Arabidopsis thaliana: one gene and its partner. The protein of the gene in region 2 interacts with the protein of the main gene of each other region in a pairwise test. Each region holds a gene or a part of one and is shown on either strand. Other genes may lie near its edges.

The links.
Region 1: the proteins of bHLH071 (region 2) and FRU interact in binary tests that used the Arabidopsis thaliana proteins (3 or more experiments, as listed by UniProt).

What each region holds. Positions count from the first base shown.
Region 1 is NC_003071.7:12,000,522-12,008,532, reverse strand, and holds FRU (FER-like regulator of iron uptake), read right to left. Parts: upstream 3,876-8,011; 5' UTR 3,821-3,875; coding exon 3,344-3,820; intron 3,263-3,343; coding exon 3,062-3,262; intron 2,987-3,061; coding exon 2,810-2,986; intron 2,727-2,809; coding exon 2,625-2,726; 3' UTR 2,538-2,624; coding exon of another isoform or gene 2,530-2,537; 3' UTR 2,257-2,529; downstream 1-2,256. Other genes in the region: ATCHX7 (Cation/hydrogen exchanger family protein), read left to right, coding at 1-257, 856-1,521, 1,716-2,162; AT2G28150 (UPSTREAM OF FLC protein (DUF966)), read right to left, coding at 6,306-6,363, 6,465-6,734, 6,991-7,903, 7,983-8,011. UniProt on the Arabidopsis thaliana protein: Transcription factor. Essential protein involved in iron uptake responses. Regulates FRO2 at the level of mRNA accumulation and IRT1 at the level of protein accumulation. Confers enhanced iron mobilization responses at low iron supply.
Region 2 is NC_003076.8:18,941,938-18,950,207, reverse strand, and holds bHLH071 (beta HLH protein 71), read right to left. Parts: upstream 4,666-8,270; 5' UTR 4,570-4,665; coding exon 4,213-4,569; intron 3,894-4,212; coding exon 3,426-3,893; coding exon of another isoform or gene 3,378-3,425; exon of another isoform or gene 2,933-3,377; coding exon 2,774-2,932; 3' UTR 2,571-2,773; downstream 1-2,570. Other genes in the region: AT5G46680 (Pentatricopeptide repeat (PPR-like) superfamily protein), read right to left, coding at 7,684-8,270. UniProt on the Arabidopsis thaliana protein: Transcription factor. May be involved in the differentiation of stomatal guard cells.

The sequences.
Region 1 (8,011 bases), on a different chromosome or scaffold from region 2:
TCTTTGGATCTCTTAGCATGGAACAACTAGATATATCGTGGTTGATGCGAGAGATACTGAACCTTAAACACATGGAGGGCTTCGCTTATGAAGCTATTTCGGTTATCTTGATCGTCACCGTGGTTAAATTTGTCGTCACAGCAATAACTGCTTTTGCTGTGAGAATTCCATACCGAGACTCCATTGTTTTAGCCATGGTTTTGTCAAATAGAAGTATCTTTGAGCTCGGCTACCTCGGCTACATTGTCGAACTTAAAGTAAGAACTCAATTATGTTTCAATCCTTCCATTTTTTTTTTACATGCTACAAATTTAGGGGTGTTCAACACGATTTTAGCTCGGTCTTAGTTTCAGATTTTCCGTTAATGAACCATAATATGCAAAGTACAGCATGATCTGTTATAGATGATTTGGTATGATTTAGGTTCGCATTCGAGTTTTAGTCACATATTTCTTTAATTTTCAAAGAAATTTCGGTTTTGATCGTTTTTCTCTCCTTCCTTTTTTTGTTTGTTTTGCATTCGGATTCATTTTGCAGATATACATGCAATAGGTAAATGAATCTATTAAACCATATAGATTCATGATTCATTTTTCAAAATTATGATTTCCTGTTTTTGGACCAATCACTTAGTATAAAACCAATACCTTAAGCATTAACACTTATTTGTTAAATTTAACATGTTAAATTGTTAACTCTTAAATTTCAAACGTAGTAAAATAATTTTGGATCTTTTTTTTTTTAACATGTAATGGCAAACACATAAAAATAAAATATTGAGGTTCAAAACAATAACAAACTTATTGATCCATCTCACTACATATTAACAACAATCCATTCTTATTTTTAAAACAGATGTTCGACAACAAGAGCTTCACGATCGCGGCTCTATCAGTACTTGTCAGCTCGCTATTGACACCGATCGCGATAGAATTCATGTACGAACCACAACATATCTTTAGTAGTTACCGAGATAGGAACATGTTAACCTTGAAACATGACTCTAAGCTGAAGACCCTTGTGTGTATTCACAAGCCTGACCACATAACATCCATGGTCAACTTTGTGGAACTTTTTAACCCAACACAAGAATCAAAATTAGAATGCAATGTTCTTCACCTTGTGGAGCTCATAGGTCAGGCCATTCCTACCTTCATTTCCCACAAGATGCAAAAGCCGAAGGTTGGAACACGCTCTTGCTCCCGCAATGTCATAACTGCATTCTTAAGCCTTCGTAGACATTTAACCAAAGAGGCAATTTCCATTGACATCTTTACATCTGCTAGCTTGGTAGAGCACATGCACGAGGACCTCTGTTGGCTTGCCCTTGACAAGAATGTAGCTCTCGTTGTACTTCCTTTTCACCGTTCTTGGTCTGTTGACCGCTCAACCATTGTCTCTGACGACAAGGCCATGCAGAATCTCAACCACAAAGTCTTGAAAAGAGCGTCTTGCTCTGTTGGAATCTTCGTCTACCGGAAACCTTTATGGGAATCTCAAATGCACGGCTCATGTTACAAGGTACTTGTTTTTTTTCTTTTGTAATTAAGAGATCTCATGGTTAATTTTTGGGGTCGTCTGGCTTCCAACTCAAAACAAACCGACGATTAGTATATTTGGCCCATGTTTTTTCTATACTAGTGTTGGTACCTACACATTTCTTCCGATGTGTGATCTTAACAAGTTCTAAACTGGTCTCGTGGTTTGTATTTCAGGTGTGTGCAATAGTTGTGGGAGGGAAAGACGATAAAGAAGCCTTAGCATTCACCAACCGTATGAGGAGAAACAAGCAGACAAGCGTAACCATCTTACACCTCATACCTCAACTTACTACCGAGGAAAGCGAAGACTCGGTGCAGAAGTTGGATTACGATGACATAAAAGAGATAATGAAGACTGAGGATTCAAATGAAAATGATTCATGGATATGTATAGAAAAAAGCGTCAAAGAAGGGGCTGAGACTTCAGTGATACTTAGATCAATAGCGTATGATTATGATTTGTTTATAGTTGGAAGAAGTAGCGGAATGAATAGCGCAGTTACAAAAGGATTAAATGAATGGACAGAGTTCGAGGAACTTGGAGCCCTCGGAGATGTTATAGCGTCAAAGGAGTTTCCTTCAAGGGCATCTGTCTTGGTCTTGCAACAGCAACAATATTAGAATCTTTTTGTTTTACCATGTTATGAATATCCAAAGCACAAATTAGGTTCCTAGAGTTGAGTCGGCGATCCATATAGGTCGTCTGTACTGCTTTCTCGGGGTTAAAATTCTTTATTCTTTTACCAATCAAACAGAGAACAATACATAGAATCAAGATGTGAATGGTCTTGCAACAACAAAGCAATAATACAGCCAATGAACCAAAACGTGATATATCAAAGCAAAAGAAACTTAAGACTTGAGACTATAAACAAAACATAAATATTACTTCATTTAACCATACAATTTGTCGCTAAATTACTATATAACATGGTGTTTATTCAATAGAGAATCAACAATCTCGGTTACATCATCACTAGAATAGAAATTAGAGCCCTGGAAGTTATGAAACATGTAAGAAAGGTACACAATCAATATAGTGCAGAACCGGATTTGACTCACGTTAGAGCAAGCGTTATAGAATCAAGTAAATGACTTGATGAATTCAAAACCTTGATTTAAAAGTGATCCAGTGATCCACAGCTTCAGGTTAGGCAAGTTTAAGCTCTGTTCGAAGCATGTCCCCTGTTTCCACCACACAAGAAAACTCGGTAAGTAAACGGTATACTCGGAAACAAAACAAAGTAAAAGGGCACAAGTTGATTTACATCTAAGGTATATGTTAAGAGGTATGTGTCCGGAGAAGGAGAGCTTAGGTTAGAGTTCTGCACTTGGAAACTTGTAAGAGACTCCAAAGACTTGTAAAGAGATGGAGCAACACCTTCTCCTTTGTTACACACCAATCTCACATAAAACCCTTTCTCCTCCACTTGTATAACATCCATCTAACACAACAAAACATACAAACTTTAAACACTTTGATGTTTCAAGAAGATTGATTGGTTTTTTTAGGTTATTACCTGAATGATTTTTTTGGAAGCAGGAGGATTGATACCGCGAAAAGGTTGAGTCTTTTGAGCATCAGGAGCATGTTCTTGGTACCCTCCAGTAGAGTTTAAAGAAGCTTCAAGACCCGCGATATCGGATTTGAGTTTCTTCGCTTGTGACTGAAGTTCTTGAACATACAACACTGCATCTCCAACAATGGATGCTTTATCCATCTAAATGCCAACACACACATACTTCATCAATATTTACAGTTTCATTAGTCATTACCAAATCTTGAAAATGTTGTGACTTACCTTAGTAATATTGGGAACAAGAGATCTCAATGCATAAAGCTTATCCTTCATACGCCCTCTCCTTCTTCTCTCAGAGATCAAAGTCCTAGACCGATCAGTCTTCGTCTTACGGGTCCCATCATTATTCGTAGTAGTGGCTGAAGAATCATCACCGTCGTTGTAATCTTCTTCATCTTCTTCACCACCGGCTCTAACACTATCACCGTCGAAGCTACGGAATGATTCAGCAACGTTGGAGTCTAAGTCAGGCAATTCGTCGAAGAGGTCATCGACAGGTGTTGGGATGAACTGGTTCTCGTCTATGAAACAGGGGCTGTTTTGTAATGGACCAAGATCGAAATCAAGAACTGGGTTTTCGTCAATGGTTTGATGATCTCCTCTTATGAGGTTTATGAACTGATCGAAGTTTGGATCGACCAAGAAATTGTGAAGTTCGAGATCGTTTATGTTTGACAGAGCGTTGACTCTTCCTTCCATTTGTGTGTTTTTGTCAATGAAGAAAAGTTGTTGACAACGAAAGAGAGACAAAATGAGTTTATATAATAGAGTGAGTATGAAATAAACTGTATTAATTAACATAATAAGTTAAGAAATCAATTAAAACAAATTTAAAGAAATGTACTCTTGATAGTTGGTTGATATTAGTTTATTCAGTTACGTCTTGTAATGTCATGCATGACCTGTATATTATATGTATAAATTATGTTACTCGAATGATTAATTTGTCGTGTTGCATGACAATTATATTTCCACATTGTTCTTCTTTATATTTTATCATTTGAATTTTTTTTTGTGGTGGAGGGAATGCAGATTAGAAACAAGAGTATATGTTGATCAAAAAAAAAAAAAAATATATATAGAAATAACACACATTTTTGGTCATGTCTTTATTGGGAGAAGTTTTTTAAAATTATACTACTTTCCAAAAATATCATTTTTATCCATTTTCAAAAATACCACAAATATTTAGAGTTTTTTAAAGTTATAAAATATACCAAAAATATTACTATATAATTTAGTTTATGAATACATTATTATGAGTTTTGGTTATTAAGACCTTATATAGGCATATAGCATGTATATTAAGCTCATAATATATCCTGTTACTATATAATTTAGTTTATGAATATATATGAGTTTTGGTTATATAAATAAATAAATCGATCAGACCGTATTAAAAAGGTGTTCATAAGTAAAAGTTTACTACGATATTAGACGTACAAATGTTAGTGTACTGTTTATATTTTTGAATTTAGATCCACATATATTCTTGTTTATTAAAATGTTAGGAATTAATTTGCAATCGGCTTATTACAACTGTAGATGTCAACTGGTTTAGTTGTCACAAGCTAGAATTTTAACAAAAGTTTTTCTCAACATTTTTATGTTAGTGTATTTAAAAAGTACTCCAATATGATAAATATGTTTTGTAGAAAAACGGCCAAAATTAATTTCAAATATAAACTTAAACCAGCATAATTTTCAAATAACAAACCAACTCTGGAATATAATAGCATTTCAATTATTTTCTTTTATTTTTGATAAATGCATTTCCATTTTTCAAATCATTTAAGGATAAACCGCAATTAAATTATGAAGAAGCCTGTTCAATGCACGGTTTTCGTTCTTGTCTCAACAAACAAACAAAGGATAGCAAAGAAAGACAGTATAAAATATTAAAGTCTTGGCCGGTTAGGACAAAAATCAACTCTTTATAATATTTCAAGTTGGAATATTTTTTCAGGTATATAACTGTAAAAAAAAAAAAAAAAAAAAAGTCAACCAATTATAGATTCCATCTAGGTGTTGAATTTATTAGAGAAACTGAACTTTTGAGCAACATTGGATTTTTGGGATACTCCACAACTTTCAAAAACATCAACCAATTTCCAAATAAATATTTGAATAATGCTATTATGTCAATTTAGTAGATGTTTGGTTAGATCGTGGCTGTAAATTTCGGTCTGTAATGTTTCTGATATAATCTTATTTTTGCTGTAAAATTTTTTTTCACATATAGCCTCTAGAGTTTAAAACAAATAAAAATTGTTGTAAAAACAATTCATGAATATGGCATACTTTGGTTCAAATATATTTGATACATGTGAAGCTAGCATAATTTTTACTGAAATTCTTCCTATTTCGTTTTTTTTTTGCCACATGATTATCTTTCAGTACTCCAACAAATATGACAACTCTTTTTCTTTTCTTCACTAATTGACATTTGGAACAAATACAATTTTGCTGTACCTATCACATCTTTAGAAACATAACTCTGAATAAGTCACAAACTTATGAAGCAAAATATTTTGACAAACTTTTTTCTTTTTTCCTTTTCTTTTTCCTCTAACCTTTATGCATGTCAACTAGCAGATAACTTTTAATTTGTTCACCCCAACAAAAATGGGGAAAATATGAAAACTCCTTTTCTTCTCTATACAGACATGGAACAAATTCAATTTTTATGTGACTTATCAGCACATCTTTAGAAACACAACAGCGGATAAGTCATGACTCATGAACATCAATAAAGTATTGTGTCAGATTTTCAGATAACCGTAACTATCGGTTACAATTTTGAAAACCGAAATGGCATGGATTCACTAATAAAACCAAACCTACCAATGACCACACCAATCAGTAAACAATGACCACACCAATCAGTAACAGTGGTCCATCCATCTTCTTCTCATCTCACATCACATCAAAACATTAATACCTTTTGTTACCAAACTTTTTTTTCTCAATTTACTTACACCTTTTCTCTGCCCAATACCAACATTTAGTGCTCTCTCTGAAATCTTTCTATCCTTTTTATGAAACTTTTTTGCCATTTCTCTTTTTCTCATTCCACCTTTCTAGATTTACAATCAAAATGGAGAAAGTTGCCGCCACAATACAAACCAGCAAAAGGGTCTTTTTAGATTTCAAATTTTTCAAAAAACACGCCTCCTAAACTTGGTTAAGGCTCTTCTGAAGGCACTTTCGATTCGATTCTAACTCGTGCTCCTGAAGCAAGCCTGTTCAAGATACATACAAGATTTAATAAACCTGATATGAATCAAGATAAGATATGTTCATATCAATATATTGAACAAGATTCAAGATGTTTATGTTTCACCTTTCGTCGATCTTGATAACTCTCTCCTCGTCTTCTCTGAATGAATCGGGCTTCCTTAAAGACTCGGTTATTCTTTTACTGCAAGCATCATGTGTTTTAGTGGTACATGGAATGTTCTTGGTAGTATCTTCTGATGAGTCTCTTCTCTTTTCGGAGACAAGTGGTTGTTGCTTCCCTAGAATAGAAGACGCCTTTCTTGAGCTTGGATTATTTTTAGAACTATCCGGTTTTGAGTCTCCATTCTCTGCTACACCCATTTGGTTGGATGCCCTGAAAAAACTCACATGAGATGTGTCCTCAAGAATTCACAGAGACTAAGTATACTACTCAAATCAAGAACCTTTCCAATCACATATTATGACCCTAACAAACCAAAGATAGCTTGTTGTAATTTTAGTGGGAAACTAAAGGCAGAGACTTTTTTTTTAAGCTGTGATTTTGGCACAAGAACACAAGAACTGTCTTAACATCAAAACATAACACAACATCCAACAATCACTAGCAGGAGTGTTTTTCAGAAATGTACCTGTCACCATTGTAGGATGAAGAACGCTTAAGAGAAGCGTTACTATCCGCTGCATCCTTCTTCTGTAGCTTAGTCTCCACTAAGCTCCCACTAAAATACTCTTTCTCCTCCATCCTCAGGCCCATTAGACTCGGAGTTTCCGACAAACGGTCAAGATCTCCCATCATAAACGACGAGGAGAAAAAAGGAGACGGAAACTTCGAGTGTCCAAATTTCGGTTTGTAAGTAGGTACAAGGCCGAAATTGTTATCCTTGACTGATATTGAACCACAAGATATCAACTGCATCAGCATATTCGAGGCCCTAAGCCTCGGAATAGCGGGCATTCGAACATCTTCTTGTTCAAGAATCCTAAAACTATTCATCTTACTAACATCAGCTCTTATTAGAGACTCCAAAGTATCAGTCTTTCCTCCTAGCGAAGAAGCACTATTGGAAAAAGGCGGCGAGACAGAGTTTCTTGATATTTCCGCACTCTCCCTCTCCTTCCCCGCACACGAAGCCTCACTCACGAGGTTATTCTCGCTGGTTTCAGGCTCTGATGACACATCTTCATCAGTTGATACACCTCTACTAAAAGTCTCTATAGGTGTTTTAGAACGACCACTCACAGTTTCATCGGTTTGAGTAGAAGCATCTGCGAGTCCCTCGCTCTTATACACTTTGTACTCAGCCAAACACCAGGAAGATGAGTTCTTAGCGTCTCGAGAATCAGGAGATACACCGGAAGATGAAACAGAGCGAAGAGCTGGAGGAGAAAGCTCATCATCTTCATGAGAATGCTTATTAGTTCCTTTACCATTATTCATACTCGAAGATGAAGACGAATCATCCATACTTCTAGATGATGGTGGCTCCACAACTATCTGCTTCATGTTTTGAGTAGCTAAATTCACAATTGGGCTAAAGTGATCTGTGCACAACAACATAGGTTTTCTTAAGGCTTCTTCATTGAAACAAAAGATTAACAAAAAAATGTTTGCTTTTTTCACCTGAATTGGATTCATCAAATAGCTCAGAA
Region 2 (8,270 bases):
ACCGATCTAGCATTCTAAAGGCTCAAAACATTCGTCTCTTGTTTTTTTTTTTGTTCTCATGTGTTATTGAAAACCTTTGCGTTTATGTTAGATTGGAACTTCTACATGAACTCACATAAGTCTACTTTTCCGAACTTGGTTATACACGAGAACTTCTACGTGAACTTACATGTCTATTTTTAATACTCAATCACATACACGAGATTTTGATTCAAAAAATGTCATCCGAACTCGGAAACCTTATAACTACACAAACTCTTTATTACTTGCATCTTTTCTTCTAGGACACTGAGACGTGAGAGAATAAGTCTTCACCGGTCGAGATACTAGACTAGAAAAGGCACCAATAAGCGATACCCAAATCCAATTTCACAATGATAAAATCCATTTATTGGTATCAGTGGCGCATCTTCTCTAGAATGTATTCATAAGGTAAAATGGTAAACCAGAAATTGTCTATTTACCGCATAATCTGTTTTTTTTTCTAAAAAAAAATCCTTACAAACCTTATTTTGAAATTCCTTTTTATTTATGTGCAGTGGATAATACCACATGGAGGTCTCTCTTTGCTCAAGTTATCTCCTGAATTAAGACAAACAAACAGATTCATTGAACTTGGGAGACATTAACTTCCACAACAATTTGTGAACTCCATTGTGTTAGAAGATTCTATATGCAGTTGTGATGCATCTCTAGTGTGGAAGAGCCGATGCAAATATTTTGTCCCATCTCGAAGGACCATATTTAGTAATCCTCATTATTACAAACAATCTTAGCCCTGGGCACAAGTACTCGCTACTCGGCAATTACTCGCTACTCGGTTCGTACTCGTCTTGAAAATTCAAGTACTTGTCATAGGCAAGTCAAGTAACAAGTCGGTTTATTTTATTACTTGCAAGAGCAAGCCAAGTATCAAGTATCATAATTTTTTTTGATACTTGACTCGTTACTTACCTCGTTTTGATACTTATCCCGTTACTTGCCTCGTTACTTGCATCATTTTGATGCTTGTCCTTTTACTTGCTCTGTTACTCGTTATTTGTACATGTGACTTGTGGGATAACTAATAATTAGGTCTGGATTTTTTTTTTTTCTATTACTTACCTTGTTAATTGTTGAACATTGTATATTTGTTACTAACATACTAATGCTTAAATTATTATAACAAATTTATAATTTTGGTTTGGTCTATAAAAGCTAAAATTTTAAAATTTATTATAACAAAACTCATTGACCTTAAATATTATGTATGAAATAGGGTTTTTTATTCCAAATATTTTAGGTTCAAGTAAAAGTATTTAATTTTGACAAGTAACAAGGTGGGTCAAGTAACTTGCAAGTAATTAAAATTTAGACAAATACTTGGTAGACCAAGTACTCGTTTTAACAAGGCAAATAACAAGCCAAAAATCCAATTACTTTGACAAGGCAAGTCAAGTCACAAGTACCTCCAAATCGGCAAGTACTTGCCTTGTGCCCAGCCCTAAACAATCTTAGTTAAACGGGAGAGATTACGCGGGTCTATGTATATCTTTTCGTGTTCTCTCAACAAATGCAAGTATTTTTCACATAAAGGTACATATTAATAGAACAGAAAACAAAAATCAAATACATATCCTAATTTCTTTTTATATACAGACATTAATTGTATATATGCTAACAATCTAAAAACAAAATAAATTTGTTTCTATTCCCTTTATAATAAACAACAATACCCTTCTTAGAACGAACCAGTTATGTGGAAAATGTGAACATGTTGACCAAATTCGCATGGAGTCCAAAGGAGATAATGAAGAGAATCTTTATTTCGTGAAGAAAAGTCAAGATTTCCACTTCTTTATGGGTACAAAGATCGTCGGTTACGAGTAAAGTCGAATATGATAAGCATTGAACGAAAAAAAAGCAGCGGGTACCAAAAAAATTGTGTATTGTACCAAAATGATGAGCATTTATCATCCTATCGAGTATGAGTGCAAATTAAGTCGAAAGATAGCAAACAATTTTGGAGAAATATAAACCTTGTCCGAATACTAAAGTGAAGTACTCTCGCCTCTGTTGCCAGCCTTGGTGGCCTAAAGCTAGACGGATATATCAAATAAAGCCCATATCTAAAACTATTAATATGGGCCACTGGAGAAAGGTCCATAAAATAGTGTCGTGGATGTTGATGGTAATATAACAACATAAGCAACCGAACACAACAATCTCACTCGCAATGATGGCGGATGTCTTAAAATCTTCTGTAACAGAATATCCAAATTAATTTATCACAAAAAGATTTTAATACGATTACACATTAACACGTAATTGATTTCTTTAGATTTTTCCATTTGCATGTTACAACTTAGCCTCTTAAATTGACAACTATCTCCATAAAATATCATCTGTTTAGCCCTTGAAATTTTATAAACACACTTAAAAAGATTTTTAGTATATACTCTCTACTAACTAATATCCAAGATCGAGAGCCTAGCTAAATTTTTTGATGATTTGTATATATAAGAATCCAGTTATATATATAAAACAATTCAAACACTCACAAGTGTACTAATTTATAACTTAATTACTATCAGAAAATGCATAAAATTAAGAGTAAAACAACTAATATGTTATGTGCCATTATAAATTCACATTTAGCCTTTACAAAGTCAGAAAAAGAACCTAGGATTTTAAAAGAAAGCTTATGTGTTTCTTCATTCTGAAAAAAAAAAACTAAAGATGTGCTATGTGATAAAATTAAAAGAAGGAATAACAACAACAAAAAAGAGATTTCTCAGAGAGAATGAGTGACATTTGAGTGATTCAAAGAGAAGTCAAATGGTAATTCTGACATTGATGAGCAACAAAAAGGCTCCTCTTCAATGATACTTAGCATGTGGTGAACTGCTCCTGCAATGTCATCTACTGAACTTAGCTGGCAACTCTCTTCCACCTTTCAACATCCAATAAGAAAATGATTTTACAAAAATAGCATAATGTGAATTTGAAAAAAGCTTCAAATTGTTACAATTTTTATAACCCACGTGGCAATAATTGAACCTGTTTTCAAGAAATGGGTGAAAAATAAGAAAAATGACTCCACCAAGTATGGTAATAAATGTTGGACCAAATCTAGTTAAGAGCTCATAGACATTCCTTTTATATGCTCTGTCCCTTGGACCGCACATAATCGACCGTCTAGCTTTAAATTCCTAACATATATTCCCAAAATACCCCTCAAGTCGCATTTGAACAAATCCGGTTTAGCTCCGGTTTGTATCACCCTAGTTACTGATAGAGTTTTTTTTTTTTTTTCATCAGTTACTGATAGAGTAAATAGCATAAATGTCCTATCTTGTAATCTGTTTGATCTAAATACCGCACAAATTGCATTGAAACTAATCCGGTTTAGTCCGGTTCAGATGATAGGGTTTTAATTTTATTACCTTAGCGCTGATGGAGTAAATAGCATAATTGTCCAATGTTGTGACACTAAGGTGAAGAATGGAGAGGGACAGCGATTGTAGAGAAGCCACCAGCTTCGAAAGCTGCGGCGGTTTGGTGGTGGCCAACGTGCTCCACCGGAAACCTCTTCTTCTCGACAAGATTCTGATGTTAGCATGAGTTTCGATTAGAGTCACCTCAAGATCTTCCATAGGGGTTTTCACCGAGCTTGTTGAGCCGTTCCTATTCTCTTGGCTCGGATCGTATGAATGAAGAAAGAACTGCGATAGAGATAGTGAAGATGGTTGATGAGGATTCTCTTGTTCACCATTTGAGTCTTGACTTGTTGAAGAAGTAACCGACTGGTTTAATTTAGCATTATGATGTTTTTGAGCTTCAAGAGATAGTAATTTGTGTTCAAGTTCTTTGATGAAATCTATGGCTCCACCAACTATTGAAGCTTGATCACCCTTTCATGGGGAAACAAATAAATCCACCAAAACAACATATAAGTAAACAAATAAAAACCCAAATATATATTTAATAAAAAATCAATTTTTTAGAATTGGCCATAAATATTGAAAATCAAATAGATTTAAACCGTTAGAATGAATCTTTCATAAAAAATAAAACTCAAGATGAAAATTTAATCTTTTTCAGTGAATTGTAAATATTAATTGAAACCCAAATCGAAATAGTAAACCATTTAAAAAAATTATCCATAAAAATTGAAACCCTACTTGAAACTTTACAAACATTAAAAAGAATATATATCCATAAAAGTTAAACCTTGTGAGCAAAAGGTTGAGGCATGAGAGATCGCAAGACAGAGAGATGTTGATTCATTTGTCTTCTTCGATTTCTTTCGACGGCAATGTGAGTCATTCGTTGATTCTCAGCTTCTTCCTCGTTTTTGCAAACCCTAGGCTTCCTCCTCCGCCGCTTCTTCCCTCGATTCGTAGCTGGTGGTTGTCGCTGTGGTGGCGGTTCTTGATTAGATATCTCCGAAATTGTGTTCTTCGATATGATGACATCATTTTCCGGCAATGGCTCGAGATCGACGAGAGACTTGAATGGAGTTGGTGAAAGAGTTTCAGAGAGCAAAAAGTTTAAAAGACCGTTTGATGATAAAGCTTCTAGAGTCATTTCTCTTCACGAAGTTTATTCCTTATTGAATTACTAAGTATCATTGATTTATATAGCAACATTCCAAATCTTTAATTTATTGTTTTCGAAAAAAATATATAAAGGTTATAAATATTTGCGGGCGAAAACGACATTTTCGAAAAAATAAAAGGCAATGATTAAAAGGAAATTTTTTTCTTGACAAACGTTGAAGCTATGGTGCTCTGAGTGTGTGTACATGTGAGACATTATTTGATTGTGATCGGTACTATCATGGAAGGGTACTTCTGAAGAAAACTTAATTATGGACTTTGCTGAATGCCATACTTTTTCTTATTAAATCTTGTAAAAGCTTGACTATTGCTAAAAACATGCATAATCACATATATATTCATTTTCATGTTTCCACATATTATCAGTTGCAATTCGTACACTTGACTAACTTATTATCACAAACCTAAATTATGATAAGAAGAGATACAAAGATCATATGATTTCTCAATATATGTTTTTTTTTTTCTTTTTCTCGAGTCATCTATTTTGATCATATATTTTATTTTATATAAGAATTTGGAAAATGGAAACATAAACCACATGTACTCGATATAGGTTAATAGTTCAGCCAGGTTTAACCGATGAAGTTATCGACTTCGAAGAAAAGACTACGTTTACCATGCTTTGATATATGTTTAAGGAGTTGGCAAAAATAAATGACACAAGCTGTATAAATTGTAATCGTTTACCTAAAATCATAACGTACAATTTGTTTTTTGATTAACTCATAGTGTATAAATAAATATAAAATGCATATGTATATATATTCATAGATGAGAAAAGGATTAGAGAAGGAAGAAGAGCAATGGAGTGCTGGTGGCACGTGAGAGGGGTCAGAGAGAGTCTAAGGTCTTGTTCTTTTCTCGAAATCGTGGACCATTCTTTCTTTTTCACTTAATTACCCTTTTCACTACTCTAAAAACCTTTAATCTTTTTACATTTTTCAAGTTTCAACCTAAAAACAACTCTTTGCAACCCCCAAAAGGAACCATATGTAATTCTTGTTCGTTGCAAAACTCAGACTTCTATACAGAAATGTTAACGCAATTGTTTGCATAGTTGAATCTCATTTTTACGTTTGAGATCATGCGTTGGCATTTTACCGAAAAATGTTTGAAGACTTTTATAATGCAAATGCAAAAACAAAGCGTATATATGTGATATGGTATTCGATAAAAAAAAAAAAAGGAAGAAAACTCAATCATCTAAATGGAGACCAAATTCCAAATATTCGACTCAAGAAGAAAAACAAATGGGACCAAACCGGTTAGGTATTTAGCAATGTTGGACCGTGGGGACCGGACAATAACATACACGTAAAGAGACAAATGAGTGCTGGAAGAAAGCAAAATCTCACAATTGCTATTTATTTTCCTCTTGAATATATATATATCCATAAGATTTTTTTTTATAATATTGGGAAAAGTGAGTAATTATTAATTGCAATTGTATGCTTATAATTAAAAAAGGACTGTCTCCATTTCATCAGTCAGTTTTGTTTGCACATTAGAAGGACCAGAAGAAGCTATGAAGGTAAAAAACACAACCCGTGATTTAAAACAAATTTCTCTATTTATTTAAATTACTTTTTAACTATCTGCACTTTTTTGTTTTTTTCTGATACAAATTGTCAGATCTCTCAAAAACAAAAACAAAAAACGTTAACTTTCACGAATTAGACAACAGCTCCGGACACAAAATCAATCAAATATTTTCGGTAACAGAAACAAAACACTCCATGCAAAATTCTACAAGTGATAAAGTGTACAAAACCAAATTAACGACCTATAATTAGACTACAATTACTAAATTTGTTTATTCGTTTACCACTCAACAATGGCCGTTGCTCTAATACCCAAAAAGGGAAAATGTTAACTTTCACGAATTTGACAATAGCAAGCGAAAATCAAACAATACTACAATAGTATTAGTTTTAAGGTATCTAGTATGTAGACTCCTTTTATTCTCTTAATTAACCTTTTGGTTTATTTTGAGTCTTTTCATATAAGATTTCTTTGTGACGACCTTTAGGGTTAGAGTTGTTTTATCGGTTCGATTTGTTTCCACCACTAGGGTTTTTGGATGATCTCAGTATTTATAATTGCTAAATACAATTCACATTTGTTATGCTAAGTAAAGTATACACACTTAATATTAATCAGACTCTATTTGTTGGTTAATTCAAAACTATATTCTCTTAATCTCTTTGACAAGCAACAAAAACCTTTTGCTTCCAAGTTCCAACGTCTCTATCTCTCTTTTTTTTTTTTTTTGGACAAACTCGTCTCTATTTCTTATCAAGAATTTAACTTAAAAAGATTCCTGTGAATGTTTTTAAACCTAGAAAACGTGTCTACTCTAATCTGATTCGTTGCATCAACAAACAAACACGTGTTCATGTCTCTAAAAAAATTCTGAAAACATCATCTCTAACATGCAATAGATCTTTGTACTTACGTAGAGAGATTAAGAGAAGTCAGTGTAACATTTTACAAAGTCCGAGAGAGAGAGACGACAATAACAACAAAGAGGACGAAGAGCAGTAACTGTTCTTGTCAGATTTGTCCACGTCGAGAGACTAGACTCAGTCTTATCTTTTAGTCCTCTGCAAAAAAAAAAAAAAAACTTTACTGTTTTCTGTTAAAAACAAAGAAACCCAAATAGTAAAAAGTTCTAGAGAGTAGGTTCATAGTTCAAAGATTAGCTTTTTAACTGTGTTCAGAAGCAGCACATGAGTAACATGGCTTCGTTTTTGGGACCAGTGGTTTCAAAAGTGGTGTCTTTGGTCATTTTGTCTGAAGTTACTTTGGTCCCTTAATTCTTAAAAGACTCTGACCAAAACTCTAATCAAATGACTAAAATTAAACAAAGTAACTGATAAATTATCAAAAACTTAGCTATATTGAAGAGCTTGTTGCTTAATAACTCGAGTCATTGATATGGTTGATGAGACTTTGGCTAATATTACAAATATTCAAATGGTTAAGAGAGTTGTCAAATCTCGACTAGAATTTAGTATGAAAACATCCCTTATGCTCATGTACAATTCAATAATTTTTCTATTAGATACTTTTCAATGTCTTAAGGGTACATTAGTGTATTACACTCAATAGCTGCTTTGATTTTGATATGTGTCTTCCTTGCTGCTTGGTAAGATACCGTCTCCCGTATGCCGGACAACACTGCTCGTCTAGCCGATGACGGAATCTTCATTCCTTTATTGTAACACGACAAGAGCAGCTTCGAAGCACAAACAAGCCGTCCGTCTTTGCATAGATTATGCACAACAGAAGTGTAAGTGAACTCATCTCTAACTTCCATTGACGCAAACAACCTCATTGCACGATCTACATGACCTGCTTTGCACAACCCATCAATCAAACAGTTACAAGTGACAACACTCGGCTGCATCCCCATCTCTCCGATACATGCCAAATGCTTCTCGGCTCCTCCCGTATTGCCTATATTTAACAAACCATTGACTATAATCGTATGAGTATAGTCATCAGGTTTCAACCCCTTCATCTCAATCTCCTCCAATAGATCATCTACTGCATCCAAGTTCCCATCTTTAAAATACAAATTCAACAATGTATTGTACGAAACAATGTCTTGACTCCTTGTACCACTTCTCACAAGCTCGTGCATACACTCATACGCCTCCTCTG